Alligator mississippiensis: one gene and its partner. The protein of the gene in region 1 purifies or fractionates together with the protein of each later gene. This does not show direct contact. Links are inferred from orthologs where the notes say so. Each region holds a gene or a part of one and is shown in the gene's direction. Other genes may lie near its edges.

The links.
Region 2: the proteins of B-cadherin (region 1) and PLEKHA7 purify together in Homo sapiens (co-immunoprecipitation; 3 studies listed by BioGRID and IntAct, with this or other methods). This does not show direct contact. The link is inferred for Alligator mississippiensis from reciprocal best matches to the Homo sapiens genes CDH1 and PLEKHA7.

The regions. Positions count from the first base shown.
Region 1 is NC_081833.1:76,121,549-76,137,129, forward strand, and holds the start of B-cadherin, read left to right. Parts: upstream 1-8,436; 5' UTR 8,437-8,497; coding exon 8,498-8,542; intron 8,543-8,639; coding exon 8,640-8,751; intron 8,752-15,581. Other genes in the region: B-cadherin, read left to right, coding at 1-146, 261-482, 700-830, 917-1,063, 1,573-1,779.
Region 2 is NC_081825.1:193,065,726-193,081,042, forward strand, and holds the start of PLEKHA7 (pleckstrin homology domain-containing family A member 7), read left to right. Parts: upstream 1-7,601; 5' UTR 7,602-7,618; coding exon 7,619-7,710; exon of another isoform or gene 7,711-7,730; intron 7,731-7,809; coding exon 7,810-7,886; intron 7,887-7,991; coding exon 7,992-8,049; intron 8,050-15,317. UniProt on the Homo sapiens protein: Required for zonula adherens biogenesis and maintenance. Acts via its interaction with CAMSAP3, which anchors microtubules at their minus-ends to zonula adherens, leading to the recruitment of KIFC3 kinesin to the junctional site.

The DNA.
Region 1 (15,581 bases):
GCGTGACTTTGTCGTGTGCAATCGCAACCCAGAGCCACAGGTCCTGAGCATCGTGGACAAGGACCTGCCCCCCAACACTGGGCCCTTCCAGGCCGAGCTGAGCCACGGCTCTGGAGCGAGCTGGGCAGTGGAGATGAACAGTAAAGGTACCAGTGCCCCTACACGGGAGGGTCCGGGCAGCTGGCCCCAGGGCAGGCAGGGGCTGGGTCCTGGGAGCCAGGGGGGGCAGCACCCAGCAGCTGACCGCTGTCTGGGCGCAGGGGATGCTGTGATTGTGCGGCTGACGGAGCCGCTGAAGCAGGATGTGTACAAGGTCTTCCTGCGGCTGGTGGACAACCAAGGCAAGGACCAGCTGACGGTGCTGCAAGCCAAGGTGTGCGAGTGCGAGGGGCACACGGAGGAGGGATGCCCTCATACAGAGGCGGTTTTCTCAGGCGTCCCCATCATCCTGGCCATCCTGGGAGCCCTTCTGGTCCTGCTGGGTGAGTGTGTGGCCTGGGCCAGACCCTCTGGGAGTCCCCAGGCTTGCACGCAGGCTGGCCCCTTGCAAAGCCTCTCCCAGGGAGCGCAGCTCTGTGCTGGGAGAGAAGGGGCCTCCTGCAACTTGGAGCCCCCTCCATCCTCGTGTAGGGGCCCTGGTGCGGCCCCGGCTGGGAGACGGGGTGGTGGGAGCCTGGCTGAGCCCCCCTGTCTCCCCAGTCATCCTGCTGCTGCTGCTCCTGGTGCGGAGGAGGAGGAAGTCAGGGAAGGAGCCCCTGCTGCTCCCGGAGGACGACACGCGGGACAACATCTTCTACTATGGAGAAGAGGGCGGGGGCGAGGAGGACCAGGTGGGCATGGGCTGAGGCAGTGGGGCAGGATGGGAGGGGAGTAATGGGGCTCTGGGCGCTGACCCCATGCTGTACCTACCTTCCAGGACTACGACCTCAGCCAGCTGCACCGGGGCCTGGATGCCCGCCCCGAGGTCATCCTCCGCAATGACGTGGTGCCCACCCTCGTGCCAACCCCGCAGTACCGGCCGCGCCCCGCCAACCCCAACGAGATCGGCAACTTCATCGATGAGGTGAGGAGCGTGGGTGGGGGTACGTGCCTGCTGGCCTGAGCCCAAGACATGGTGTTGGGGTCAGTTGTGTCCTTGCAGGGCCTGGTCCATGCCTGGGTTGAGGGCTTGCCCTCCACTCCAGGGTCTTCTCGTGGCTTTTGGAGGCAAAGGGTTGAGTCTTCTGGGTGCTTCCATCCTAGCTGAGGACGTGGCTCAGTGCTGTGTAGTCAGGTCCCCATGCTCGGCTGCCTTGGGGGGGCAGGTCCTGGTGCCACGAGGAGGGTGCTGTGCAGGGCTCGGTGCAGAAGCACTACTCTGGCTCCAAGGCCATGTCCTCCTGCCCCAAAGCTCTTGGTCTCATGAGGGTGGGGGGCTCCAGTCTCTGCCAGCTGAGCTCTACAGCCCCCACTCAAGCTGGGTGTCGGGATGTCTCTGGACACCAAGCTTGAGCCACTTCCAAAGCCCGCACGGGCCAGGCTGCACTAGGGCAGGGAGGGAGATGCTCACCTGCTGCCTCCTCCCGGCCCCAGAACCTGAAGGCGGCCGACACGGACCCCACGGCGCCGCCCTACGACTCCCTGCTCGTGTTTGACTACGAGGGCAGCGGCTCCGAGGCCGCCTCGCTTAGCTCCCTTGACTCCACCAGCTCTGACCGCGACCAGGACTACGACTACCTGCACGACTGGGGCAGCCGCTTCAAGAAGCTGGCCGACATGTATGGGGGCGGCGAGGACTAAGGGCCCCACGTGTGCCTTGCACGGAGCAACGTGTGTGGAAGCTGGATGCCAGCCCCACGCAGCCGGGTCCCCGTGCAGGAGACCCCGCGGGGGGGCTGTCGTCCCAGACCTTTGCAGGGCTGAACCCACTGCTTCTCCGACCTGTAGCTCTCTGCCTTAAGCTGCTGGTGCCTTCTGGACGTGCAGACGCACGGACCCATCCCCTGTGGAGCTAGGAGCCCGTATCCCCCCATGGCCAGCGGCTCTTGGCTTCTCAGCCTGGGCCAGCTGGCCCCCCGTGCCCGCGGCTGGGGCTGTGCTCAAATTGGCCTTGCACATGCCGCTGCCGCCTCAATCCAACCATTCCCTGCAGCATCAGATAGCTGCTGCCTCCTTTTTTGTACCTCCCCATGGCTATCGCTTCTCTCCCCTCCCTTTGTACGATTATCCCCAGCGCGATGTGGGCGCTGCTTGGCCAGGACGGTCCTACCATGTTAGTTTTATTAAAAGTACTTCTTTTTTTTTTTAAGTGCCCTGAGTTCCTGCTTCTTTACACCAGTCCCATCCTGGGGCAGGGGGGAGTGGAGCCTGCTGCATGGTAGGGTAGGACATGCCGGGAGGGGGCTGGCACTGGCGCTAGCCCTAGTCTCTACCTGCTCCTGCAGGACTGTCTGTGAGGCCTCCCCTACCGAGGGGTCTTGCTGCACTGCCTTGTACTATTTCTTGTGCTCTGACCTCTCCAGCCCCTGGTGCAGGGGTGCAACAAGCACTGCCAGCTGCCTTGCTTAGACTGGAGCTGCTGAGTTGCAACCAGCTGCTGGGGGTCCTGAGAGCCGGGCTGGGGTGGAAGTGCTGGGGTGTCTGAGATGTGGGGGCAAGCACCGTGGAACCCAGCCCTGCCACAGTGGTGGCACAATGCCTGGGGCCAGTGCCTTGAGGCAGCTGGGAGCCTGCAGAAGGCAGGCCGGGCCGTGCCCTCTCTTCTCCTGGGCTCAGATCTCGCTTGGCCCCTGGAACCTGTTCTTTACTTGGGCTGTCCCATCGCCGAGGTCATCTGCCCCAGTGCTTAACAAGCACGTGGCTATGAGGCTTTCCTTGCAGTCGTTTAAACCGATTTACTGCTCATCTGCTTCCAGAACAGGCTTACCTGGCTGTCACCACAATTTATTGTATTTCTCTCTTCTCCCTTGTCTCGACTGAACTACTCAAGTTCTCTTGCTCTTTCCTCATGCGTTGGGTTTTCAAGGCTTCCACCCTCTCTCCCTACCTCTTCCTCCAGGACACGGTGCCCAAACCAGGATGCGACGCTCCAGGGGTGGTCTCGCTGCAGCCCTATAAAAGATTCCTTGTTACATCTCGCCCTCACTAGCCTCCAGCCCCCCTCGGAAACTACCCCCTCTGAGCTTTCACTGTTAACTACAGGGCAATAATTAGGGCAGGTCTTGTGCAGCAAAGAGCTAGAGCCGCAGCAAGGCCCAGCATCTTGTCTTCCAGTCTGGATCTGCTATAACCCTCTTTTCTACCGCCGGGGGTGAGATGAGGCCTAAGCCCAGCCAGGTGCAGTGGAAGGAGATGCAGCACAATGTGACCCTGGTAGCACCCTCCAAGGGCAGGGGCTGCCTGCTCTGCCCCCTGCTCCCCGGGCAGCAGTGCTGGGCTGGGCATGGGAGTTGCAGGTACCCTCGTGGTATGGGGGTGGGGTGTACAGCAACATAGGTAAGCTGAACACCCTCCCTGGTGCCCCTGGGGCATGGCTGGTGCTGCAAGGGCTTGGAGCAGGGGGCCAGGCTGGCCAGGTCAAGCCACCTGCAGAGCTCTTATCTCTGCAGAGAGCTCAGCTGCTGCCTCGCTCTGGGTGCTGCTGCCACCCCCCAGCCTGGGCTCTCGCCTGTGGCCTTGCTAACGAGCATTGTGGGGGAAGTGGAGTTGATATAATGACAGCAACTCCCCTGTGCTGTGGGGGCTGCGCAGCCACAGCTGGCCCAGGCTGCTCCGGCTTTGCTGGGAACAGCTGGAGCTGTGGGGGCAGAGAGAGCCCTTCTGCTGGGACTCCCTCTTTGGAGCCCGGGACCTGGTGCTTGGGTCCTTGCAGGAAGTCTATGGGGGCTGTGGACTTCCTTGGGAGCAGTACCCAGAGTTGCTGCCTTAATGGACTGGGGGATGGGTTTGTTGTGCATGGGACAGGGGTGGCCTGTTGCGATTCCCCCAGTGATAGCAAAAGGCACCTTTCCCATTGCAGCAGGAAGAAATGGCCCTGCCTGGGGCATGGAGAGCTAGGAGAGGAAGCCAGGAGCCTGGATGAGCACTGGCTGCAGAGCTTCCAGCTGGGCACCTCCCTGGGGGGATGGCTGCTGCCTGCCTGCACGGGCTGAGGCTGGGACTTGGGATTCCCCAGCCTGGGAGCAGAGGCCTCACCTGGCCTCTTTCACCTGCCTGGAGTAATGCATCCTGGCAGGGGCCCAGGGGGAGGGGGTACTTCCCTGCTCAGAAAGCAGCTTGTAACCTGAGGCTGGGTGTGGGGGGGAGCAGGGACTGCTCCATCCCCCCAGCCTCTGCAGCAGCCTGGTGACTGGTCCGACTGGTTTTTCCGGCGCGGGTGCTGCAGCCCTTCAGGGCCCTCTTCCCCAGCCATCTCCTGCCCCTGTGTTGCCCAGCTTCCCCCAGAGCAGCCCCCCGGCTGGGTGTCCCAGGAGGCACCCTCCACCACCCCCACGTCCTGCGGCTCAGCTCTGCACCCCGAAGTGATCCAGGGCGTGGGAGGGCCCGGCTCCCTTCTCTGCCCAGCAGGGGGCAGCATGGCACAGGGTTGGGACCGGTCCCTGGGGCGGGCACTGGGAGCAGGGAATGCATCCCTGCCCTGTAGCCCAGGCACCTGGCCTACCACCTGGGACTGGCATGACCCTGCCCGCCTCCCAGTTGAGCCTGTGGGATCCTGGCAGCCCTGGGGAGCTGCTGTGGGTGCTTCTGAAACCATCCCGGGCTGCAGAGCAGACTGGGTGCGCTCGCCCCCTCGGCTGCTGGGCTTCCTGGCCTGGCATGCCCTGCTTGCTGCCCCTGCTTTTGGTACGCGGGTTGCTGGGACAGGGATGATAGTAACTGGTGCAGCTCAGGTGGCTGCTCACCTGTGCCACCTGCTCGCTGCTGGCATCGGTCGGAGCTGTCTGGCTATGCTCCCACGTGCAGGTGCCAGCGATGTGCCATGGAGCCCCAGCCCACCCCAAGGGGCCTTCTGGGGACAGCAGCTGCAGCTGGAGACAGGCTGGAGGGGCAGGAGGCAGTGCAAAGGATGGCTCCTGACAATAGCGGTGAGCAATAAGGCAGAGGTCTTATTTCTCCTCAGTTGCCTCCGCAGCACCTTCCCATGCAACCTGGGTGCTGGGGGCCAGCCCAACACCCGCCAGTGACGACCCATGGAAGAGGGGGAGTGGAGCAACAGCGGTCTCAGTGGCTTGGGGTAGGTGTATTTGGAGCTAGGACCACAGGTCCGTGAGCCATGTTTCCAGTGGGAGGGTAGGGGGTACGAAAACAAACCCTACTATGCATGCAGGGCCCTGGATGCAAAGGAGGCAGGCATGGGCAGCCCCTGCGGCAGGAGGGATCTGCCCCACTTGGCTACTGCCCCCTTTCTTCTTACCCCCCCATCTGGTCCTGGGAGGGTGACCCCGACCCCTAGCTCCAGGCCTCTCCATGCCGAAGGACGTGACTAGGAGAAAGGGGTGGGGCAGGAGCCTGGGCACCTCCTCGCTCCTGCCCGGAGCTGTTGGCAGTGTTTGGAGCAAGGCTCTGGCCATGCAAAGCAGCTCGCACCTCCCCTCCGGCACCCCGGGCACGGCACTGAGCACAAGTGGGTTGGCTGTTGGCTTTGTTTGCTGTGCCCATTCATCACCCTCTCCATCCTTTGCTGCTGCCCATTCTCCCCACGTTGCACTTCTGAAGGATACCACCCCCTCGGGCTCCTGGCACGGGTAGGGTCCAGCTCTCCTGTGCCTGGGCCCTGTTCCTAGTCTCAGGGCAAGGACTATGGCTGCTCGAATAGGACATGCCCATGGCCCAGCTGGCCTCCCCATGCTCCACGATGAACCTTGCTCTCCTCCTGCTGAGGTCAGAACAGGGAGCAGGCGCCCTCCAGGCACATGCTTAGTCCTAGGGGTAGCCTATGCCCCCTGGTCCCTCTGTCCCCTGGCGCAGGGCCATGCTAGAGATTGTGGTCATCAGGTGAGCACTGAGCTGGGCAGGACTGCACCCAGGAGAGCACCTGCTTGCTGGGATGGAAGGAAAGGCCTGGAGTTGCCTGTCCCTGCGGAGCCAGCAGTGAATAATTCAATGTTTAAGGCACGACTTGGCCAGTGCATGCCCGTGGGAGCCCTGGCACCACGTTTGCTCTCCATCACCTGCCAGCAAGCAGCAGGAGCCGGGCAAGTGGAAGGGGAAGCTGGACTCAAGGGCAGCGTCCCCTTTCACCAGCCTGGTGGTCACCAGCCCGCTGCCGGGTGTTGTGGGGATGACTGGGCCAGGGTGCTGCACAGACGCATGACCTTTGCCCCACGGGGCTTCCAGGACCAGAGGCTGTTGAGAGGGAAGTGGTAAGGAGGGACTGAAAGGAGCAGGAGCCCCTTCCCGGGGCCCAGCGAGAGGCTGGTCTGATGGTGCAGTGCCCAGGCAGGGAGGCTGGAGCTGACATCGGAGGCTGCGTGAACTGGGGACAGTGACGGGTGGTCTAGGGAGGGCCTGGAAAGCGCATGGTGGATGGCTGAGAGCGCAGCGCAGGAAGGAGCAGGGCAGGTAGGTGCCCTGGCCATAGCTGCAGGCCAGAGGTTGATTGCTGCTGACCCACAGGCTGGAGAAGACGGGGTGGGGGAAAGGATACGGTACAATGTGACCCCAGGCAGGAGGATGGGAGCGGACGATGCCTGGGCTCCTGGGAGGCATGACAGACCAGGAAGGAGGCAGAGTGAGGAGGAAGTCGTGGTGGCGACTGCGGGCGCGCAAGCTGTGGTTGGTCCATCAGCTGTTGCCAGCAAGGTGCACTTCCTTCTCCTGCACGGGGGCCAGCTCTGCTGTATCCCCCGCAGCCCGTCTCATCTGCAGCACGTGGTGCCTGCATGCCCAGGCCCAGCCGCCTGCCTGCTCCCTATGTGCCCCTGCCTCGGGCTGCCCTTGAGTCCAGCTACAGCATCCGGCTGGCCACACCAGCAGGGACAGGAAGCAGAGCTGAGCCACTGCAGCACTTGCAGTTTCGGTGTTTGTTCAGCAAGAACTTTGCCCTTAAGACCTGGGCACAGCAGGCCCCGCTCCAGGCTTCCTGCCTTATGCAATCCATGCAGCTCTGTGGGGGCCCAGCTGGAGGGAAGCTGCAGGGGTGAAGCAAAAGCCCTGGTCCCTTCTGCATGGGGGGACTAGCAGCCCACCCCTGCGCTGGGCCAGTTGGCTCTAGCACGCTTGCAGTTGCAGCAAACAGCTCATGCCCGAGCTCTGCTGCCCACGCAGCCCCACCCGGCATGTCCCGTCACCAGGCTGAGCTTACTGGGGCAGAGGTGGCCCCACGCCTCACCTGTCAGCCCTGTTTGTCACCTTCGTCCTGCCCAGCATCCGCTCCCAGCCGCCCGCCCTCAGACAGGGTGTGGGAAGACACCTTCCCCTTCTCCTTTCACTTCTCTGGCTCCTGCCCCTGCCCTGGGGCCAGCTCGAAGGCCTGGTGGCTCCTGAGGTTGGGGCCCGGGGCCTGCAGCTGCTGGTGGTTGCTGGCTGCTTTCTAAGCTGAGGTCCCTGGTCCCACTTCCCAGTCACGGGTGTCCCTAGCGCACGGGGTCGAGCATCGGCACTTTGTTGGGGTCTTCCCCAGGGGGGCTGCAAAGCCAATGCACCCAAACAGCACCCCGGGACATGACACCCTTGACCCCGAAACCTGCCTGGTGCTACAGCCCTGCTGATGGGGGGGCAGCCGGATCCCCTGTGCCTGGCACCCCGGGGCAGCCTCCTAAGACCATGAGAGTGGTCACGTATGGGGCAGGGCATAGGTCTGTCACGTCTGGTCTCAGAGAGTCCGCCGCCACCTATAAGTTTATCAGGGGTGACCGCCAGGACCTGGGGGAACGTTTGTTCACCACAGCGCCCCAAGGGATGACGAGGTTGAACGGTCACAAACTCCGTCGCAGCGGATTCAGGCTGGACACAAGGACGAATCTCTTCACTGTCCGAGCCCCCGAGGTCTGGAACAGCCTGCCACCGGCGTGGTTCCAGCACCCACTTTGAACACCTTCAAGAAAAAATTGGATGCTTATCTTGCTGGGATCCTGTGACCGCAGCTGACTTCTGCCTTCAGGCAGGGGCTGGACTCGATGGTGGTCCCAGGTCCCTTCCAGCCCTAGTGTCTATGAAATCTATGGGGAGGAGACGGGGGTCACCCCGGGCAGGATCAAACCCCGTGTCCCAGCTCTACACCCTGCCCCGCCTCTCCAGGAGGGTGCCGGTCCGCGGGTGCGGAGGGAGGGGCAGCCCCCCAGGCCGGACCAGCGCGATGCGGGGGAGGAGGAGGAGGAATCCCGCCCTGCCCCGCACACGCATCGGGCAGGGGCAGGACCGGGGGAGGCGGAAACCCCCGCCCGCAGCCCCGAGGACCTCCCCCGGGCCCGGCCCATCCCGGCCCGTCCCGTCCCGTCCCGTCCCGACCCACCTGCGGGGCGGAGCCGGGGCCGCTCACCTGCCCGCGCCGCGCCCGCCCGGCCCGCACTCCGCGTCCATGGGGCCGCCCGGCGCCGCGCTCTGCCTCCTGCTGCTGCTGCAGGTGAGACCCCGGCCCCGACCCCACCCCGACCCCCGACCCCATCCCCATCCCCATCCCCATCCCCACCCACACCCGGCTCACGCTGTCTCCCCGCCAGGCCGGCCCGGGGCTGTGCGAGGAGACGCGCTGCCAGCCCGGCTTCAGCGCCCAGACCTTCACCTTCGCCGTGCGCCGGCACAGCCTGGAGAGGGGCAGAGTCCTGGGCTCAGGTGAGCGCTGCGCCGCGGGTCGCCCAGGGGACCCGACACCCCTAGTGCCCCTGTGCCCCCCTGCCCAGTGCCCCAAGACCCTTAATCCCTCCGTGCTCCGTGCCGAGACCCCTAGTCCCCTGCGTCCCATGCTCCAGGACCCCCCAGGGTCCCTGTGCCCAGTGCCCCTCCCCATCAGGATCCCGTGCCGTCCTGGTGCAGCGTCCCGGGGGGGCGGCAGGTGCTGAAAGGCCCCGAGAGAGGGGCGGGCTGGCCGCTGGCAGGGAAAGGCAAAGAGCAGCACAAAGCCCCTTCCCACCTGCCCTTTCCCGGCGCTGGGAGGGAGGGAGGGAGGGAGGGAGGGAGGGAGCAGGCTTGTTCTAACTCGCATTGGGCGGGCGCGGGGCTCCGGTTGACTGTTGAACTCTGACAACCCGGCTTTGATGGATCGCACCAGGCACGGCTGGTGCCACCTCCCCGCCCGCGGCTCGCCCTGCGCTGGGGCGGTGCAAACAGGAAGCTGGAGGGCAGCACGCTGCGGCCAAGGGCTGCGCTCGGGAGTGCCTGGGCAGTCGGTTCTGGCGGGCGAGGAGCAAATGCAAGCAGTGGGCTGAGCTGGTCCAGGGGTGCTTTTGTCTGGGGCAGGGTGGGGGCAGCTCTCTCCCCTGGCACTGCACAAATGCCTGGCACTGTTTCAATGGTGGTGTTCACAGCAAGTGCAGGGCCTCTCTGTTCTCTGCCGGGCGCCCCTGGCTGCCAAAGCCCCCTGCCCAGGGCTGACCTGACAGGCTGTTGTAAATCTGGGGTGTCCCCAACCCCAAGCTCCTAGGGGCATGGGTCCCCAGCTGCTTGGGGGGCGCTGTGTTGGTCTGCTGGTCCCCACCCTAGGGTCATGGTTTTGGGGATTCCCTGAGAGGGCTGACACCAGGACAGCAGGAGCTGCCAGCCCACGGGGTCTGGCAATGTGGAGGAGTCGCTGCAGGGCATGCAAGGGCATGGAAGCTGTGCCACAGGAGCTGTCTGTGTGTGTGCGCTCCTGCCCCAGAGCAGAGCAGGGTCCCCCGCACCTGCCGTGGGGCGAGAGCACATGCACGGGCCATTCCCCGAGGTAGTCGCAGCATGATGTCCAGGCTGCAAGAAGGCTGAAGCTGTTCCCACCCTGGGTTGGCACATGAGCTGGGCTTCCCTTTGCCAACCAGGGGCTTTTTCCTGGCTGGCAGGGAGCAATGGGGTCTGTCTGGGGAGAGCTGGTTGGAGGCAGCCGACTAGACGGGTCTTGTGCATCCTCTCAGTGATGGCAGAGCACTGTCCCCAGGGCCCGCAGGAGCAGCAGGGGTGGCTGGAGAAGTGCGTGGTCTGTGCTGGCCTCCAAAGACCTGCCTGCTGGCACCTGAGCCCCAGAGCCAGAGGGGTGCTGATGCAGCTCGTAATTTGGGCTGTACCTACTGCGCTGCCTGGCGTGGCTCGTTGTCCATGACTTTGTTAGCGGCTGTTGCCGGCTGGTGGGATGTGGGTGCTATGTCCAGACAAGCCAGCCTGCTGCGCTTGCTGCAGTTACACCAACCTGCTGCATGCAGCCTGCCCCAGCCCCTTGCAGGGGCACATCCCTCCCCGGTTCGCATGCCAGCGGTTGTGGGAGCTGGTCTGAGGCCTGAGTTAGCAGTGACGCTTCCTCTTTCCCTTGGCATTTGTGCTGTAGCTGGGGGAGGGAGCCGGCGTGGGGGCGGCTGGTGCTGGGATTGCAAAGCATGGCGTGTGTGGGGGTCCTGGGCTGCGCTGGGGCTTTCGAGAGGTTGCGATGGAAGTGCTGTTTGCTCCTGGTTAATGGGTGACGAGGCTGGTGGCGACAACACAGCTGCTGCGAGGCAGCTCTGGCTCCGTCCTGTCTGAGGGGGAACATGCTAGAGCCCAGAGGCAGCCAGTAGAGGAGTCGCAGAGAGACGCATGGGGAAACCCGTGGCACCCGTGCCTTCCTGGCAGCTCGTGGTGCAGAGCAGTGTCTCCAAATCAGCTGGGACACTTGGTTCTGGTTCTTGCCTGATCACGAGTTGCCCGGGGGTCCTGCCTTACGCTACCACGACCGGTGATTTCCCCGCTGGCCTGAGCCACCCTTCTGTGCAACTGCCCCGGTTCCTTGAGTGGGAATTCCCCAGGTTCCCAGCCCCGCTGCTTTCTGTTTCAAAAGTTTGGCAGGGGCGGGTGCGGGGGCCGAGAGCAGAGACATGGCCCTAGGTCTCCTCCCTGCTCTCTGCCCGCACTCGAGACCCTGGAGCCGGCTTGACCCTCTGGAGAGGCTCAGCCCAGGAGCAGGTGGCAGGAGAGTCCCTGTGCAAAGCACTCCCATCCCTGGGACCAGGAGCCTGTTGGCTGCAGACCGGAGTAGCCCAGCAGGTGCTGGTGCCCCCAAGGGCACGGGGCAGTGTAGACAGTGTCCACCTGGGGCTGCAACCGGAGGCAGCTCAGTGCTGGTGAGACGTAGCTTGGAGAGAGCCCTTGTAGCCCTGTCCCGGGAGCTGCACACAGGTTACCTGTAAGGCCTCAGCTGCCCACAACCAGCGGAAGAGCTGGTCCCCGGGCGCAGGAGGCTGGAGACTGCCTCGCCGGGCAAGCAGGGCGGCCGTGCCAGGGTGCTGGCAGGGCACAAGGCTTCTGGTGTGATAATCCACAGTGACAGGGAGGCAGAACTGGCCTGTAATTAGGGGATTAGCGCCCAGGCAGGCCCCTCCCATGGACCTGTCTGGATTTTTTTAAATCAAATTTTGTTTCTGGGCCAAATTAGTTCTGAATTTTGACTGAGCAGAGCTCAAGTCCATGTGGCGATATCTCCGGCAAGTCTCCTCTCTTCCAGACTCTTCTTCAGTCTGGGGCTTCAGAAGTTCCCACATCCATGGCAGGCATCCTACGTGCAAGCCCAGAGGCTTGGAGGTTGAGGTGCCCCTGGTCTTGCTTGCCCTGAGCTGAACGGCTGAAGGAGCTAGGGGCAAAGCTTGAGACCAGTCCCCCGTCACCATCAATGGCCCCCATCGGAGGCATTATAGACTCGCGGGGTCAGCCTGCCTGCAGTGCGCCGGACAGGCCTTGACCCCCTAACTGCACTTGGGTCCATTCGCGGCTGAGAGGATGGTGTCTCCCAGACAGGTCTGGATAGGCCTGTGCGTGGGGGCAGGAGGAAAACCCAGGCACGAGGGGCTCTCTTGGACCCGCTGTGAACACTTAGTGCCTGAGCAGGGCTGCTCCTGGGCAGTGGCCAGGTGCTTTGGACTGTACCCAAAACCCTCCCTGCAGACCCGTCACTGAGGATTCCCCTCGGAGGGCTGGATGGAGCTGCCCGGGATGCATTAATTGTGTGGAGGAAAGCCTCCCGCTGGGTGATTCCCTGTGGGCATCAGCAGCTGCTTGCTTTCCTCGAGGCAGTCCCGGGAGCGCCCGCGCCTCCATCGCCAGCTTGCTGGGGGGAGCTGCCGTACGGGGAGGGGATGAGCTGGAAGCCAAGCATTCCCAACCACTGACTGCTCGTGGTGCCTTGGGCAAATCCCTGTGCACCCATGCTGGGACTTGTAGGTTGGGGGCAACAACTAGCACCAAGGGCGTTGGGAGTGAGCTGTAGGCAGGCTAGCCAGCGACAGGGCGACAGGCAAGGGGGTGAAGCCCTGTCTCCACCCGAGAGTGGCCTCAAGTGGAGGGGGAGGTAATCCTATGCACCCCGTTGGAAGAGGATTTGTAGCTCATCTGGTCCCTCCACGGTGGGTCCATTGTGCTGAGCCCCACAGCCCCACCCTGCACGGCCCCGGCCACTCCTGCAGCCTGGCAAGGCTTTGGCTGGCGTCCCAGAGCTGAGCGCCATGCCTGGCGCGTTCCCAGCCCGGCTGGGGGTGGCACAGCCGCTGTGTACACACGCAGGTGACTGGCGTCTGAGTCAGCTCTCAGGAGAAACTCGCCCAGCCAGTCTGGACCGGGGCGAAACTCCTCAGTGATGTCACCAGCCCTGCCCTGCGCATGTGGGAGTGGGCCCTGCTGGGGGGGCACGCCGGCCTGGCTGCCCCTGCACTCGGGTCCTGTGCTCCAGGCCTCTGCTCCCACCTGGGCTGGGGTGGCAAAGCCGGGCTGGAATAACCTGCCGCTGGCAGGAACCCGGGAAGGCAGGGGAGGAAGTGCTTTTTCCTGCTCTACCTGCCCCCGGGGCTGGGCTGGAGGCTGCTGCGTCTCCTGCCCAGCCAGGAGCTGGAGTGACCACGCTGAGTCCTGATCCCTGGGCACCAATGTCCGAGCGGAGCTCTGCATCCGCACCCTGTCCTTAGCGCTGACACCCCCCGTGCCACACGATGGCTTCGGTCCAGACCTTGACCTGGGGTGGGGGTAGGAGGTCAGAGTCTTAAAGCGCTGGCGATCCTTTTCAGACTCTGGCTGGCTGGGATGGCGATTGGGTCTGGCATGGGGGCAGGGACATGCTCACAGCATCCCAGGGCTGGGGTCTCAGCACCTTCCCCTGCAGCTCATACTGCAGCTGGAGTCGACAAGGGGGGTCCTGCAGGGAAACTGAGGCAGCCCCACATGCGAGCTGTCGGCATCCAGCAGTCAGGAAGACCAGTGTCTTCCTTCACCCCTGCCCCGGTCGGTGCAAGTGAGGCCGTGGGGTTGGCTCTGCTGGCCAGGATGCAGGGGGCTGGCTCGGAGCATGGCACCGGCTGCGGAGAAAATGTGCCCCAGGAGGTGCCGGAGCCTCCGTGCTTCAAAGGCCGTCACTGTGAACGCACCCGGCACCAGGCGTATTGCAGCCATCGCCCGTTGGGAGGCTGAGCCATCAGCTCTCAGGTCCCATCACTTATGCATGGCCCAAGAGCCTTGCGCCCATGGCAGAGAGACGCTATGGGTCTAGCTGCCTGGGGAAGGTGTCCGTGCAGCCACTTAGTTCCCTGGATCACTGAGGCCCTGGCAGCTGGGTGCAGGAGCTGGGTGGGGTGGGGTCACTTGGGGCCTTGCCCAATGTGTTTCAGTTTTAAATTCCACCCGCTGCGGGGAACCCGATCCCGTCTCTGCCTCCTGCCAGGCAGCCGGCTCCCCCAGGCAACAGGAAAGTTCTGGCTCCTCCTTGGAGCCCTTGGGAAATGTGAAAGGTCTCCAGGTACTTTCCAAAAGAGCTGGGTCTGGGGCAGTGCAGGGGGACGCAGTGAAACCTCGGCACCCCTGAGAAGCTGCTGAGCTGGGAGCTGCTGCCACGAGAGCCCGGGGCTTTGGGGATGAACGTGCAGCTCCCCCGGGCTGCAGCCAGGCAGGGACCCCAGAGGGGCACGCTCTTGGCTGGGATGCCAGAAAGCAGGGGGTGGAAGGAGACTTGGCTGGAAGGAAGGACAGGGCAGAAAGTGAAAGCTTTCATGGCGGGGGGATTATACAAAGGACTCCTGCATATTCCTAGCAGGACAGGTGCGTGCAGCGAGGCGAGGTGTGATGCATCCCTGTGCTGCTCCACAAGCTGAGCTCTGCTGTCTGCCCACGCCCTGCCCCTGGCACAGACACCACCCTGGAGAGGCACTGCCCTGGACGGTGGCACCCGGCTTGGTCTCCTGTTACACCGAGAGGCTGTTGGTCGTGTTAGTCTGATACTGAACTTGGGCTCAAGAAAGCTCGTGCTTTATATCCATACCTGATGTTGCTGGTCTATAAAGGGGCACCTCTGCCCTGCCTTCAGTCTGGGGGCCCAGAAAGGTGCAAACCACCCTTGCCTCCTGCTGCATAGCCAAGGCCCTTCCCTCCCGGGGCGCAGCCTGCCTCCCTGCCCCGGCTGAGATCAAGCATGACTGGGGGCATCCAAAATCCCGGAGGCCTGGGACTTGCATGAAGGCTGCCTGCCTGGATCTGGGGAGCCCCTGAAGCCCCAGGTCTGTAGTCCTGGCAGGGTGCTGGCCCGGTTGAGTCCTACAACCCATGGATTTTTGTAGGCTCAGTTTTTGAGCTTTGCTCAGTTGCATTTGGTACTAATTGGGACTTGGATTAAAGAAGAAAAAAAAGATCTCCCTGCCTCAGGCAGGGGCATAGGGCTGCCCGGCTCTCCCCAGGACAGGCTGCTGGACGCGGTTGGGCCCCCCCTTGCAGGAGGCTTCATTGCTGCTGAGGGAGGCACAGGCCGAGAGGGTGCGAGAGCCCCTCTCATCATACCCATTTATAAATCCATAGTGCCTTCACACCTTGAATACTGCGCCCAGTTCTGGTGCCCGCACCTCAGCAAGGACATAGAAGGACTCGAGAAGGTCCGGAGATGGGCAACCGGATGAGGGGTACGGAGGGGTTTCCATGCAAGCTGAGACTGGAGGGGACAAGCCGGGTCAGCTTAGCAAAGGAGATATGAGAAGGGTTTACAAAATACTAACTGGTGAAGAGAAAGTCCATGGGGATTTCTTATTGACTTTCACAAGGCAAGAACCAGGGGTCACAAACTGAAATAAGTAGGCAGTCGGTTCAAAACGAACACCAGGAAGTTCCTTTTCACCCACGGGTCACTAACGCGTGGAGGTTACAGCCGCTGGATGTGGTGGACACTGAGAGCTCGGCCAGATCCACCAAGGGAGTGGACATGCTTGGAGCAAAGGGGCTGAGCAGGGAGTGAGGGGCACGGCCCTTGAGTCGCAGTCTCCAGGTCGAGGAAGGTCCAAGGGAGAGGGACCGTGGAAAACCCGTGGTCAGACCCAGGTTGCTCTCCCTTCCAGCTTTCGTTTTCTGCCTGTGTGATGGGAAACTGAGCACAATGGACGGGGGTCTTTCCCAGTCGATAGCAGTCCTGGAAGCCAATGCTTCCAAGGCCCTGCACGGCTCCGAGTACCCCAAGTTAGCAGGGGACAGACCGCTGCTGACTGGGC
Region 2 (15,317 bases), on another chromosome or scaffold:
TGGATTTCAGCATGGCTTTTGACAAAGTCCCACATGACTTCCTTATAAATAAATTGCAGAAATGTGGGATAGACAAAACTACTATAAGGTGGATAGATAACTGGCTCAATAACTGCAAGCAAAGGGTAATTATAAATGGATCCATATCAGAAGGGCAGGAGGCTTTGAGTTGGAGTCCCAAAGGGGTCTGTCCTGGGTCCAGTGCTGTTCAGTGCATTTATTCATGATTTGGATGCTGGAATAGAAAGGGAAGTTTCTGATGACACTGAACTGGGAAGGATTGAAAACATGTTGGAGGACAGGACAGAAATTTAGACTGATCTTGACACAGTGAAAAACTCTGCTGGAGCTAACAGGATGAGTTCAGCACTGATAAATGCAAGGTACTACACTTCAAGAGGAATAATCAAAAATACAAATACTAAATGGATGACACCTGGTTGGGTGGCAGCACCATGGAGAAGTATCTGGGAGTCTTGGTAGAACACAGATTCATACAAGGTTGCAGTGTGATGTAGCCACACAGAAGGCAGATACCATTCACCCAGCCCATGTGGCTAAAAGGTAGAGCACCACTGGATTAGACAATGGATTTATACAGGATGATTTGAATAGGGATAAATCCTGCCTCAGGCAGGAATTTGGACTAGAGGACCTATGGAGGTCTCTTCCAGCCCTACTTTTCGATGACTCTATGATTCTATGAGAATTAAAATTTTTGAAATTTATCTTTCTTTTAATGTACACTTTGTGTTTATTTGCTCAAGACTGAAACTCAGATGCAGTGTTTAATAGTCCCCCAAAATTTGGCCACTTACCTCTTATAGGCTGTGTATGGCTTTTCTTTCATCTGAGAGTGCTTGGTTGGTGTGGCTTTCATATGTAAACCAATTTATTTCAATTAATACCCCCAAAATTGTGTTAATAGAGTGATGGTTAGAGTATTTTTGTAGCCATGATGGCCCAGGAAATATATTAGAAGCAAGGATTTTAAGGTGATATCTAAGTCTGTCTGCCTGTGCTTTGTGCCCTTCCAGAATAGTGAGATCAATTATTTGAACCTCTGGAAACCAAAAGTACAAAGTTAGGGTACATACAGCCTAAATTCTGTTACTATCCTGGATACGTTGGGACTAAGTGTTATCAAAAGAAAGCTTAGTTGGTCAAGAAGCTCCTGATACACAGCTCTTCTAATACTTCCAGATTCTTACATCTGTGGTATGGAGCTAGGGAGGGTTGGAGCAGTGCAGAGGTATGGAAGTTTTAGGATGAAAAGCCAGGGTGCAGGAAGCAGAGTGAGAGGAGAATCAAAAGTGGGAAGGAATAAAGAAGAGGGAGACTTAGGTGTGTGGCAGATCAAAAGGGATGGGTGGTAGGGCAGGAATTTAAAAGAAGGGGTAAAAGGTGGAGGACACAATTTAGCATCAGTTTTTAATAGACCCTTAGACTTGCTGCACATGCATACTTCATTCTCTTTAGTTCATATTATTTTTTACTGAAATTCCTAATGTAACTCTGAATAACTTCTTCAATATTATCCCAAAGTGCCATGGTCTCGCAGAGATCCTAGGTACCTGAAATCAGTTCGAGGAGTCATAATCCATACTAGAGCCATAATCTGAGCATCATCTACAAAACTGGGAGTATATGAATACATGCACAAGGTAGGAAAATCTGTAAACACACAATCATTGGGGAAAACTATTGGTTCGAAGACTACTTGTCTTATCCTGCACCACCAGAGGTCACAGCAATTTTTAAGTTAATGAGCTAGTTTTTTGATTTTTAAGCACTTAGAACAAGGGTTCTCAACCTTTTTTAGACTCCACGCACCCCTCGATCATTTAAGGCACCAGCTCTTAGTTTTGACTCTTTTATTTTGAATAGAGAAATGATAGAACAATTCTGTTGCAAAAAGCCCAGAAAGATCACAAGAAGCCAGAATATTTTTAATACTATGGATTCCTATTTGAAAATTCTGGGTGTATCTTGTGAATCGTGTTTGCATACCTAACAGTGCTAAAGCTGCATGGCACCTCATGGCACCCTTGAATGGATCCCAAGGCACCCCCTGGTGACACTGCACTTGGGTGGAAGATCACTAATCTGGAATGATAGTGCTCCAAACAGGAAGTGACTTTCATCTTGTATGGAAACATAGGTCCTGTTCAACTATAATACAATATTCTGTTTTTCTATATGTGGTCTATGTCACTTTAACATATTTCTAACGATATATGTTTTGTTTTTGTTTTTGTTTTTTGCCTACCTACAGGGATGAAAATAGGACTTAAGTGTGCAGATTAAAGAGCTGTAATCAAAAGAGGGAATATATGTTCTTAGACATATAGAATGTTTCAAAAAAATGTTATGGTTGCTTATGCATCAGGCATCCAAAATGGGTTTAATGTGGGGGAAGTTAAATTCCATTTCAATGATTTTGAACATATTTTTCTATTATGTCACTGAAGACAAGCCTCAAATGATTTTTAGTAATAGTTTACACAAAGACTATTATTATAAATATACAAGTTCATCTGATCAAAGGAGTCAAGTGGGAAAGCCAGGGCATAATAAGCCAATTTCATTAGCTCATGAAGTTAATCAGGTGCGAAAAGTTTGGCCCAATACAAAAAAATAAATTAAACTCTTCAGGACAAGGTACTGTTTTTTATGTATTTGATATGGCTTTAAGCACTTTATTGGCATTAAGTAGGAAGTAAATAACTGTGTTTTTGTTGCCATTACAGTGCGTAGTCCCAGCAATAATTACTAATTTCTGAGCACTGATTCATCATAGAGATATTGATAAATTAGGTGGGAATTCAGAAAAAAAACCCAGTAAAAGAATTTGATTTTTGGAAGCTTAACTCGAGAGAAAAGGTTAGAAAAATCTTGGTTTACTGATGACTAAAGAACAGGGGTACAGATATTTCTAAGATTTGGGAGAAGTGATCAGCTAGGGAGAGGGATTATGCAGTGCAGCAAATTAAGACATAACTAAGAAAATAGAAGAGAACATTTAGTATAGTAAAGAACAATTGTGTATATGTGCTTTATCTTAATTTACTGTGAATCAAACCACAGATGTTTACTTATTAAGCTCTTGACAGATCACTAAAATCAAAGCCCAGATTGCTCATGTGTGCAACATGCACCTGGTCTCCTTCCAATACTACTACCCTTAGGCTGCGTCTACATGAGCGGTGGACTGTGCAGTTGTTACTGCACAGTACTGTTGCTGCACAGGTTTTTTCAGAAGCTACTGCACAGTAGCTCATTACTACTGTGTAGTAACATCCTGTCAGAGTTAGTGCCTGCCAACGCTACTGCACAGTAGCGTCTCATGTAGATGTGCCATTAGAGTTCTTAGAGTCTTTTGTTTTCTTTTGCCTTGCACTGTACCCCCCCCCCCCCCCCCCAAGTAATGTTCACATGCACAGGTTCAGAGAGCTGAAGAAAGTGCTTGGGAGCAACCGTAGGGGCTAGGGACAGGCATTCAAAAAGCCTGAGCCTGAATTGATTCAATCTTTGCAGGTTAGTCTAACCTGGCTAAGCTGAATCACTTTGTAACTGTGTGCAGACATCCCAGAAATGCCAGCACATGCCTGCAGTGGCTCAGGCTAGAAGCCAGAGTGCTAGAGCAGCCCTCCCTTTCCTTGCATAGAACTGAGCTGGGTGGGGGGGGAGGGAGGGGGTGGCCAATCCCAGGTAGGATGCTCTGATTAGTCCAGCAGGGAATTTGATAACAGTTTATCACCCCATTAAGAAAACAATAGAGGGACATTATCAGCTAGCCAGCATATGATCTGCTAGATAATATACATACACCTCTCCACAAAGCAGAGGGGAGGGAAGGAATTCCTGGTTAGCAGGGAGTGGTGGGGGTCAGAGGAGGGAGCAACTCAGTCTTGCCAGATCTGTAGCCAGGGAGCAGAGAGCCCCACTCAGCCCAGAGAGCATGCCAGGATGCTGGGGGAGTCTGATTTATCTTAGACCAGCAAGGGGTCTGGGACAGACATTGCATAAACCAGTTTGACCCAAACCAGTTATGTCTGATACTACATTCAACCACGGTTTTCTCAAACAGATTTATGTGCACCGTGGCAGAATACCATCTCTGTTTCTCCCCAAACTCTATTATCAGGCAGGTTACCAATCTGACAGTTTGGTTACCATGGTCACTGCAGAGGGCAGACACCCCTGGCCCCACTGGCTTCAGGTAAGCCTGAGTTGTAACCTGAGCTGGAGGTGGAAACCTGCTCCCTCTGCCTGCGTGATTGACCTCACACATCTGGATTGGGGCTTAAACACCCTATTGTTCCAAGCAATGTCATCATGACTGGGAGGGGGCTAGAGACCTTGCCAGTCTACCCAGCACCCAGTGATGCATTTCAAATTGGTTGGCTGGCAGCCAACAGGTGCTGGCCTTCATTAGGTCAGGTAAATGAAGTCATAAATCTATATAATTTAAGGACTGCCCAGGAGATGGGGCAGCAGCCATGATGAAAACTCTCAGAGAAGCTGGACCATCTGAAACTCGCTCTCTCTCTTGAACTCATGGTCAATGAACCACTTGCCTCCAGAGGGAATCTCCACCTGCTTCTGGATGATACTTGTGAGTAAGCTACTTGAGATCTAACTAGATATATAGCTTGCAGTAGCACAGGTGCGTAATTAAAGGCTACCATGCCACTGTTTGCTTTAAGGGATTTCTATGATATTGCTCTACCCTGTACCCTATTCCAAACCTACTCCTTGTAACCAATAAAGTTCTCCTTGGTACCTAGCATGGGCTACTTATTGGGAGAGGGTCGAGATTATGCTTTGGGGTCCCCTTGGTTCGGCTGACTAAGGGTGACCACTATTTGTGCTTCAGACTGAGGGAAGCACCCCAAGTTCTTGCAGTGAGTGAAGTACACTCAAGGACCACTAGGCCTGTGTTTCCCAGTGGGCACAGGGCCAAGATCAGTCCAGACCCTGGGTGGTGGCAGCGTTTCCCTAGGCTTGTAGGTGTGCTCCAGGAAGAGGGTCGGCTGGACATGAGGCACCCCCAGAGAGGCACTCAGAGCCTGGAAGGTGGTCGGGAGCAGTGAGGTGGGTGGGTCAACGCAGAAGCACCCTCTACTGGCCCACCACACACTAAACATCAGTTCTGTTACAGGTTTAAACAAGTTTCTGATCACATAAACCGGTTCGTGTGTAATGCAGGGGCAGGCAGTTATTTCTGCTTACCCAGTTTTGGCAAGCTGTTGAGGGCTGCATGGGTACCCCCCTAACATAAGAACTGCCACTTACTAAGTCAGACCATATTTTACCCAGTTTCCTGTGTCACACAGCTGCTCCATGTTCCCCCTTGGTGCACTCATTTTGAAACTCGAACCTTCACTTCTGTCCCTGTTTTCTTCTCTAGTTGTCCCTGGTAATCACTTGGTGTGCATGTTGTGGTCTCCCAGCTTAAGGAGGTCTTTTAGCTCTTCTCAGTGGGCAATGGCCCATGCTCCCAATTCCCATCAAACAGGCCCGTGTCACACAGCCAGTAATCTGGTGATGTGCCCTTAGTGGCCTCCCATATGAAGAGGGACTTATAGTTTTACTTGATGGGCATTGGCCCAAGTTCCCCCTAAACACATCAAATAGACCTGTCATAGTGGCAGAAGAGTGAATGTTGAAAGGGAGAGTGAACTGGATATGATGAGGGACTTTTTTTCCACTGATACTCACATGCAGCCTCCGGGATTTAAGGTCTAAGAAGTTCTGATTCAGAGGCTGTATCCCTAACTCCTATACTCAATAGCTCCTGATGGCCCTTTCCTCTAAGAATCTGTTCAATCCCTTTGTGAATCTGGCTGGACCAGTGGTGCTCAACCTTTTTCTGCAGACGGCTGGATGGGCAGTGCTGGGTCCCTCTGTAGGCTGGAACTGGCCAGTGGACCCAATCTGGCACTCAGGGCACACAACGTGGGGCCCTATCCAGCTGTGCAGGGGTGAGGGGGTGGAGGGAGTTGGCAGCCTGGTCCCAATCCAGCCTTGTGGAGAAAGGCAGCTTGGCCAAGCCCTGATCTGGCTGTGTGAGGGGGAGGTTTGTGGTCCAGTTCTGAAATGCTGCTCTGGGCCAGGATGTTGGCAGTGGAGAGGGGCACTGTTCCCCCACCAACAAATTTCCTGATGTGTGAGGAGCCACACAGGCCCGATGCCTTTGGCCCACAGGGTGAAGGCTGAGCATGCCCGGGTTAGACTGTCAGCTTCCACCATATCTGGTGACAAGCTGGGCCATGGCAGCATAACTGAGCTGTGTGGGGAAAAAAACCTCCCTGTGCATGGGCGACTGGTGCCACCTGAGTTGGGGGGGGGGGGGCACATGCCCCCCCAGCAACCAGTCAGGGACTGGGGTGGAGGGGGTGTCCCCCATGGTCAGTCTTGCCAACTAGGGGGCTGTCCCCCCATGGCCGATTGTGCCAACCGGGATGCAGGTGTGGTGCTTCCAGAAGTGCCAGCGGCGCTTCACCTGGTGCCCCTCCTCTCTTGCTGGCACTGGTACCCACCCTGCCCATTGCCTAAGTGGGGAGCGCGGTCTCTCAGGGGGTGCACCAGCACTCTCAGGGGGTGCACATGCACCCCTGTGCCCCCCCTACACATTGCCACTGTCCCTGTGGTTCGTTTTAAAACTGACTTCCTCCTGGGTTCATTTGGTACCATTTCTGTTCCTCTCTCTTTTTTGTTTCTTTGGGGGGTAGAGAGGAATGAGGCACAGAAATGGTCACCAAGCGAACCCAGTAGGCTTTTTTGGCAGGGGGAGGAGTGGAAATGAGGCACCCCCACTTCCCAAGAGCAGTGGAGTGCACTTCCCCCCCACTCCTGCCACAGTACTCTGCCCACCCAACCTGCAGGGAGCTGCACTTCAGTCCTGCAGCAGACAGGAGATTTGGCAGCTCCAAGCAGCCCTTTCTGGGCCAGCAGCCCCTTGGTCCCTGGGCAGAGGGATCTTTCCGTTGCCATCGCCCCCGAGCCCCAGCCACAACAAAGGAAAGAAGACATGGGAGGGGGTGAATGTCACAGTGAGCCTCACTGCTCCCTTTGAGGCGGCGGCATAGCTGGGGGTGGGATGAACACATGCACTCATGAATGGGCTTGTACACACAGGGGCATACACATGGACTTACACTCACACATGGGCTTACACTTACACACACATGGACTCTCATACATGGATGTGCTCACAAGGGCTTATACTTGCATACATGCAAGGGCTCATACTTGGGCTTGCTCACTCAGTGGCCCTCATACACAGGCTCACACATTGGCACTCAGGGGCACTCACACACTTACTCACGGGCTCACTCTTGTGCATGCACACTCACACGGGCTCAGACTCTCACACGCGCATTTACACTCACGTGGGCTCACACACAGGCTCTCATTCACACTCCTGCTCGCACATGCCCTCAGGGCTCTCTCACACACTCGCTCCCGGGCTGACCGGCGCACAGTGGCGGGCTCTGCCGGGCTCACATGTGCACGCGGGGGCGGGGCGGGGCGCGCCCCTAGCAACGCGGGGGGCGCTGCGGAGCGCGGCCTGGCAGCGGGTCGGGTCGGGCCCGGGCCGGCGGGCGCGAACATGGCGGCGGCGGCGTCGGCGGTGGCGCGGGACGCACTACCTGAGCACTGGTCCTACGGCGTGTGCAGGGACGGCCGCGTTTTCTTCATTGAGTAAGGCGGCGGCGGCGGCGGCGGCGGCGGGGGGGGGAGGAGGGTGTCCGCGCCCGCTCGCCGCTCCCGCGCTAACAGGTGCACGTCCCGTCCCCGCAGCGACCTGGCCCGCGCCACCACTTGGCTGCACCCGCGCAGCGGCGAGCCCGTCAACTCCGGACACATGATCCGCTCAGGTGGGTGCTGGGGCCGCCCCCGCCTCTGCCCCGGGTGTGCTTGGACTCCCCCCCCCAGCACCTCGGGGCAGCTTCTCACCCCTCCCCCCCCCCGTGTGTCCCCAGATCTGCCCCGCGGCTGGGAGGAGGGCTTCTCCGACGAGGGCGCCAGCTACTTCATCGAGTGAGTACTCGGCGCCCGGCCCGGCCCGGCTGCCATGGCGCGGGCTGCCTCCCCGCCCGCTCCTCCGCGGGGCACGGGCTCCGCCACACACACACACCTCCCCCAGCAGCAACACACGCCCGTGCACACGCAGCCCCCCCAGACATGCACACATTTGTCCCCCTAGTAGCAACACCCTCCCTCCTTCCCTACTCTAGCAGCAACACGTACACACAGCCCCCCTAGACACACACACATTTGTTTCCCCAGCAGCAACACACATCTCTTTTCTCACACACACACACTCCCCCCCCCCAGCAGAGTTCCACCTGGGAAAGGGGAGGAGGGAGCCTGGTTCCTCCCTGTGGTGTTTACACTGTAGCAGCCAGCAGGGAGGGAGGGAGGGAGGGGCACTTCACTGGGCTGCCTGCAGACTGTGGAGATCCGGCTGCTGCTGCTTCTCTGGCACCAGGATTCGGCATGGGGTTCAGGGATTTGGGTTAAGAAACGGGGTGTTCTGTCAGGAGGCTTCCTAATGCCAGCTTTGCAGGAGAGTCTGGCTCAGGAGGCAGGGCTTTTTGGGGCATGACTTCAAATCCAAGAGCTTCAAGGCTCTGGGTGAACGTGGCAGTATCCTAGAGCAGTAGTTTTCAGCATGTGGTCTGCAGACCCCTGGGGGGTCTGCAAACTATGTCTAAAGGGTCTGCGAAAGATGACTACGATCAATGAAAAGTTTGTGAATACCCACACTTATAATTTACAGGGGTCTGCACCTCCATTTGAAATTTTGGCAGGGTCTGCAAATGAAAAAAGGTTGAAAACCATTGTCCTAGAAGCATAGAAGAAAAGTAGGGCTGGAAAGGACCTCCAGAGGTCGTCGAGTCCAACCCCCTGCCTGGGGCCAGGCCTGATTAGCCCCATCCCAAGCATCCTGTACAAATCTGTCATCTAAACTCTCTGGAAAACCACCATCAGCCTTGACACAGCACACACCTAATGCCCCAACCTGCCCCAGGGGAACGGCAGTAGGCAACATCCTGCTTCTGTGAAATGTTGATGTCCAAGAGATCCCAGCCAGAGTAGCTGGGAATCTGCCCAGCATGTCTGATAAATCACACCAGTGTCTTCAGTATTGGTTTTGTTTTTTTGGTTTGTGGTTTCCATAAAGAACTTGCCAACATTGTTTATAAATGTAGATCATTCATTTATAGTTGATTTGCCTCCTGGGACTGAAAACAGTCTCCAGAAGCATCAGTCCAATTACTTATTTGACCACCCAGCACATACAATCCCTTTTGGAAGCAGATAAACCTGCATCCTAAAACTAGTTAGCTTTTTTTTTTAAAATCCTAGTCTACCAAATGGGGTGGCTGTTTCAGAAGCTCCCACCTGTTTGCTTTAGGACTCTTGTGAATTACCAACCTTAATTTGTTGGACTAGGTGATCTTTTGAGGCCCTTTCCAGCTGTATTTCTCTGCGAGTCTATGAGGATGAGGAGGATTTTATCTGTGGGTAGTTTATACATATTTGTTCTTGAGCCAACATTGTCTTGAGCTGAAATAGCTCTTCTCCATCTGCATCCCCCAAGTTATTTATTGACCAACATAGCCACTTTCTTTTTAGTCTTACCTCATAAGATGGGTCATCCAACCCCCTGATCATTTCAGCTTGCCCTTTTGTGCACCTGCATCAATTTGACTTCACTCTCCTCAAATGTGGATGACTAGACTTGTAAGCAGTGTTCTAGATGAAGGTCTAACCAGAAACTTCCTGGGTGTGTCCAGGTAAGCGCGGTTGTGCTGTATGTGGCACTACAAACACGTTTGCAGTGCCACATACAGCACGATTTGGTGTTCTCTGCACTGCAAGGGCACACTGCCCAAGTATGTGCTGCTCTGTTTTTTTGTTTTTTTTTTACCCTTGGATTATCTAGGGGTCAAAAAACCCCCTCAGGAACAAAAATGGACCAGTGCATGCTTGGGCAGCGTGTGCTGCTAAAAAGTGGAGCTGTGCTGTGGCTGCCAGCTAGGCTTCACCCAACAGGAGCACCATGGCTGCAGCTCCGGGAGCCCCCAGGAACCCCAGGTAAGGCTGCTGGGGCCAGTACAGTGTTGGCCTCAACCTCCCCTGTGCCACCCAGGGCAACTTGCCACATGCCAAAGTGCATGTGGCATGGGCTTTCTCTGGGAACAAGAAGCAGTGGCACAAGATGCACTGCTGCTGCTTGTCCCTGGGGAACTGAATGTCCGTGCTCGTGTGGACGCGTCCTATTAGTGTTATTAGTACTTCCTTATGTCTAGAGGAAACAACTCCCCTAATGCATCTTGGAATCTCTTTTGCCTTTCTCAAGGCTTCGTGTTTATTTGATGGCTTATAATGTTCCTGTAAGTGACTGATACATCCAGGCCTGTTGTCTCTTATTATAGTAGAAATTTTTGTTGTTAGATGCATGACTTTGTTTGGGGCTATTAATTTTCATCCCAGCCAGTGTTTACTGCCTGATGTTCTGAGCCTCATCTTTGTTGATGGTAATTCCCAAGTTTCTGGCATTGCCAAATTTTATTATCATGTCCCTAATTTTTGTGCCAAGATCATTAATACAAATAGTACACAAGACTGGTTCCAAGACTGATCCTTGAGAAAATACACTAGTAAGTAACCTCCCTCTGCTAAAATGTTCCCCTTTCAGTCTTGATCTCCCTTTCCCCCTCTTCCTTACCCACTTCTTAATTCTTGGACTAGAACAGCAGACTTGTGTAACTTTTTTTGTCTGTTTCTGCACATTAGGGCAACTTTCCTGTCACCCTTAATCAAATACTTGAAACTGCCATAACAGCTCTACAATAAAAAATATCTGGATTGATCTTGTGCACAAGTTATGTTATTCTTCCCTCCATCCCATTCCTGTTAATTCCGCAACATTTTTATTATTTTTACTTTCTTTTCTTGTACTTGAAGGAAATGTCCCTAAATGAATGACAAAATTGAAAAGTTGCAATGGTGTAATATACTGAGTTAGTTAGTTTCTAGTTGAAACATAAATACTGTGGATGTTACCTGCTAAGTATAAGTGCATAGAATAAGACAAATGATGGGAGATTGATAGCTCCAGGATCCTGGAGGTTAAGGAAAGATATTTTCCATCTATTATGTCATTTGGAGGCTTTATGTCAGATGGACCGATGGAGTGGTTTCTGTTTCATCTGGAATGATAGCTTATATTTTTAAAGACGCATGTTTCTGAGAACAGAGGAGCAAGGAGGGGGGGTTTATAGGAAGAAAGTGTTGTGTCTAGAAAACCTCAGAAGATGAGATGCCCTCTTGCATGTTCTGTGGCTTTTGGGAAGGTGGAACATCTCTAGAAAAGTTGTCATTTTATTTCTACAGTGTGACATAGGACCTTGAAAGCTTGGTTGTAAAATATTCTGTACTTGGATTTGATATTTACAGGGTGTCTTGGTTATCTTGCTTTTAATATAATTTTTTCAGCAGGATTGAGTATTTATGTTTTGGCAGTTTCATTCTCCAGGTATTTTTCAAAAAGTTGCTCTTATTTCATGTCCTCCTACCTGTGTAGTGATATACAGAGCCTAAAGATTTGTGGGAGCTGATGCCATTTGGAATTTGCTGCAGTTCGGGGGAGGAGGGAAGAGACAGGAGACGCAGCTGGGGTTTCTAGGTGGTCATTCCATGGAGAGAGGTTCTTTCTTTTCACTCCATTTTTTTCTGTGCAAAATATTGTGGCACCTAAAAACTGTACAACTTGCTTCTGGCTTTTATTTCAGGAAGTTTTCCCCAAGCTTCATAATATTTTCATGTTCCTTTCCTAGTTTAATTCATCTAAGCATGTCCATTTTTTGCTCTCATTTATGTTACCTCATTTATCTCTTCTTTCTCAAAAGCACAAGTTTTAACTAAGTGTACACTTTGCAAAGAAATGCATTTAAAACTCTCTCAGGCTCATTGGTTGCTCACTAGTGACCTGTCTGAAAGTTAGATTTTTTCTTGTGTTGGAAATTCTTAATTTCTGTTACAACTTGAAATATCTTAGGATAAGAAAACCTGCTTGCTGTTACCATGTATAATATTTCATTGCTTTGTGCAATAGCTTGAACTCCTTTAAGTTAATTCACTCTGTTCTATGCTAGATGCTGTGCAATGTAGTGGCAAATGTAGTAGGAGCTGCATATCAAATACATCTTGCATCTCAAACTTAATCTGAAAAGTGGTAAAAAGGAGGGATTACTTTGATTTAAGACTAAGAAGAGGGTTTGATATTTCACCCTGTGGATATTTTGATATTTCACTGTGCATATTCTGTTTATTATGCAAAAATACACTTTTGGGTGTCTGCTTTGTAGGGAAGTTAGTGTGGAGTAAGCCAAAGTATGAATGTATGGTCAACTAAATATTCCTCACTTAATTTCCCAGATGAGTATTTTCATTTTGAATTACAAACAGTTTTTTTTTCTTACTGAGCATTTATTGAAATGTGTGGAGACACTTAGGCCTCCTCTACATGGTATATTAATTGGATAATTGCACAATTACCTTAAGACCAGCTACACATGCAAAATAGCTATCATGCCATAAAAAGTTCCAACAGCTATAAAGTTAGACCTCAAAAATATTTACTAACTTTGTAGCTGGTTGCTATTGAGCTTTAATTTGTATGGGTAGTAAGGTCTCCCCACCTGATGGGGGCTCGCAGCTGTAGAGGTGCACCATTCTTGGAGTCCTGCAACTGAGGGGACTTCCAGCCCCAGCAGCTGCCAACTCTGGGTCCTGGCAGCACCTGCAGCTGCAGATGCTGTGTCCCTTCTGTGTGCCTCCCAGTACCAGGACTCAGATGGGTCTTGGCAGTCATAGGGCACTGCTGCAATTTTCCTCTGAGGCTGGGAGATCACTGCTACTCCAACTCTCAGCTGTAGGGGTGCATGTGTTTTCCCCACATCTGGGAGTCACTCCCAGTTGCAGGAGGCTTGCTTCTTGCTGGTGCAGGGGGAACCTGGGATCAGTCCCACACCTGTGGTTTGGATCCTATTGTGCCTTTACCTGCATGTGTAGAAGGGGCCTTAGATTTTTCTTATGAGCCTTTTCTGGGTGATACAGTTAAATGAAAGCTATGTAATAGATGTTGTCACACTTTCATTCATTGAAAATAGGGAACAATTGAAAAAGGATTTTCTTTTTGTACCTGGTTTTAAAGCTATTTAATGCAAGTGTTTCCTTAATGTCAAACTATGTACAATTTCCAGTGAATAACTATCCCTAACAGTAAGCAATCTTCCTTTAAAAAAAGGGGGGCGGGGAGGAAATACAAAATAAAAACTCATGCCTGTTGATAGCTTTCACATAGCTAACTAGCAATAATGGGTCTAAGTGAAAGTGAAACAAAGTTATTTGTTTTGGTTGTGCCCTAGAAAATACTACTTCAGCTCAATTTTGAATTAACAAAGGGGAAATATATATTTGAAGCCAAATTCATATTTTTCATCTCATAGGGTTATTGTTGCATAGTGATCGGCCAGCCCAGTTCATGAGTTGCACATGCTGTTAGGTAAACCCCTGCATCATAATCTTAAGACAATGAATACCTTTCAAAAGTCTAGCTCAGTAAACTTTTTTTTCCGCAGACTACTTGAAAATTGCTGAGGGTCTCAGCGGACCACTTAATAAACTTCTTTTGTTCTACAAATCAAAGCGCACAACTCATACTTTAATATCAGTAGTCTTAACCATTTTAATGCAATGGATGTGCCTGTTTTTTTTTGAGCGAAGTTCTGGGAAGTTGGGTGTAATGTTTGTCAGCTTTAGCCTTAGGTCACCTTTCTGAGGACCACCTGAAGGGAGCTCACAGACCAATGGTGGTCTGTGGACTACAGTTTGAGAACCTCTGGTTTAGCCGATTGAAACTGATTAAACAAATACATTGTGTGGGTCAAAACTGTGTCGCAATTAACTTGCTGAATTTGTATGACTCTATATTAGAACTCATATTTCTCTGCCTGAATGTCATAGCAGTTGGACCCTTGGGCCTATGAGAGTAAATTGCAGATGTACTAGCAGATGTGTGAGGTGTTTTTTGCTCAAATTGGTTTCAGATTCTTGAGTTACTTGTGGGAAAGAGGTGAGGTACCTTGGCAAACTCCCCAGTTGGGAGCAAGTTGGTGAATAGAAAGAATGCTAAAATAGTTAATAAAAAGCATTATATATACATATGCATTTAAGCTTAGGCTTGCCATCTGAACTGTTTTCACTAAGTTAGTGCCTCCAGCTAGTCATCTGAAGGACTTTTTGCTAGAACAAGAACTGGAAGTTCTGGAATGATTTGTTTGTTGCATTTTTATAGTTTATTAAAATAACTGAGATGTCTATCTATGTAAATAGCTCTTCTGCCAATACATTGGGTTAGATAATTGTAACAGGGCTTAATTTGACTCGTGGCAATATAAAAAATTGTGTGCATAACACAGGAGAAACATTGTAACCATGTTAAAATAATGTTGATGCAATCTCAGAAGCGTCAGTGAATAGGACTGATTTATGGTAATATTGTGCTCAGATTTTATCCTCGGTATTTTGAAAATTAAAGAGAAAATGGTGGGAAACCAACACTCAAAATAGATGAAGTTATTTCTTCATTGATTTATTTCTTAAGCCAGTCAGTTGTTTGATTTTTGGGCTATGTACTAATTTTGACTTATTAGGCAAGATTGATCAAATCAGAAGTGTCTTTGATTTTGTTCAGCCAAAATGTCATTGTTTATAACATATATGAAGTTATTTGATATATCTTTAGTACTTTGTTGTTTGTAGAAATCGTGTATCTGGCACATGCTTTGAGAATTTAGAAATGCCTACCTTTTACTAAGTACTGCATGCTCTCACACACATTCAAAAACCTATGTTAAAAGAACATAATTAAGGTTGCTGATGCAAGTATTCAAAACACTGGAAAATGTCCCATTTAAGGGGGTATTATGTAACCTTAATCTGACCCTTTCTGTATATGCATTATTATTAGCCTTTAATAATTGTTCAAAGGACCTTAAGCTCATTCGTTGCACAAGAGGATTGACGAGCAATTAATGAACCTATGTCTGGAACCTACCTCCTGAATCACCTAGTCTACTTCTCCTGCTTTCACAGGCAACCGTGTTTTATAACCATTAATTAATTTTGTCAAGCTAACTCTGAAAATCTGTTGAGGTCTTTTGATTGCTCTTCCTATTTTAATATTCTCTTTTTCTTTTCTCATTTGGTGGTCTGTCTTACTGCATACTATT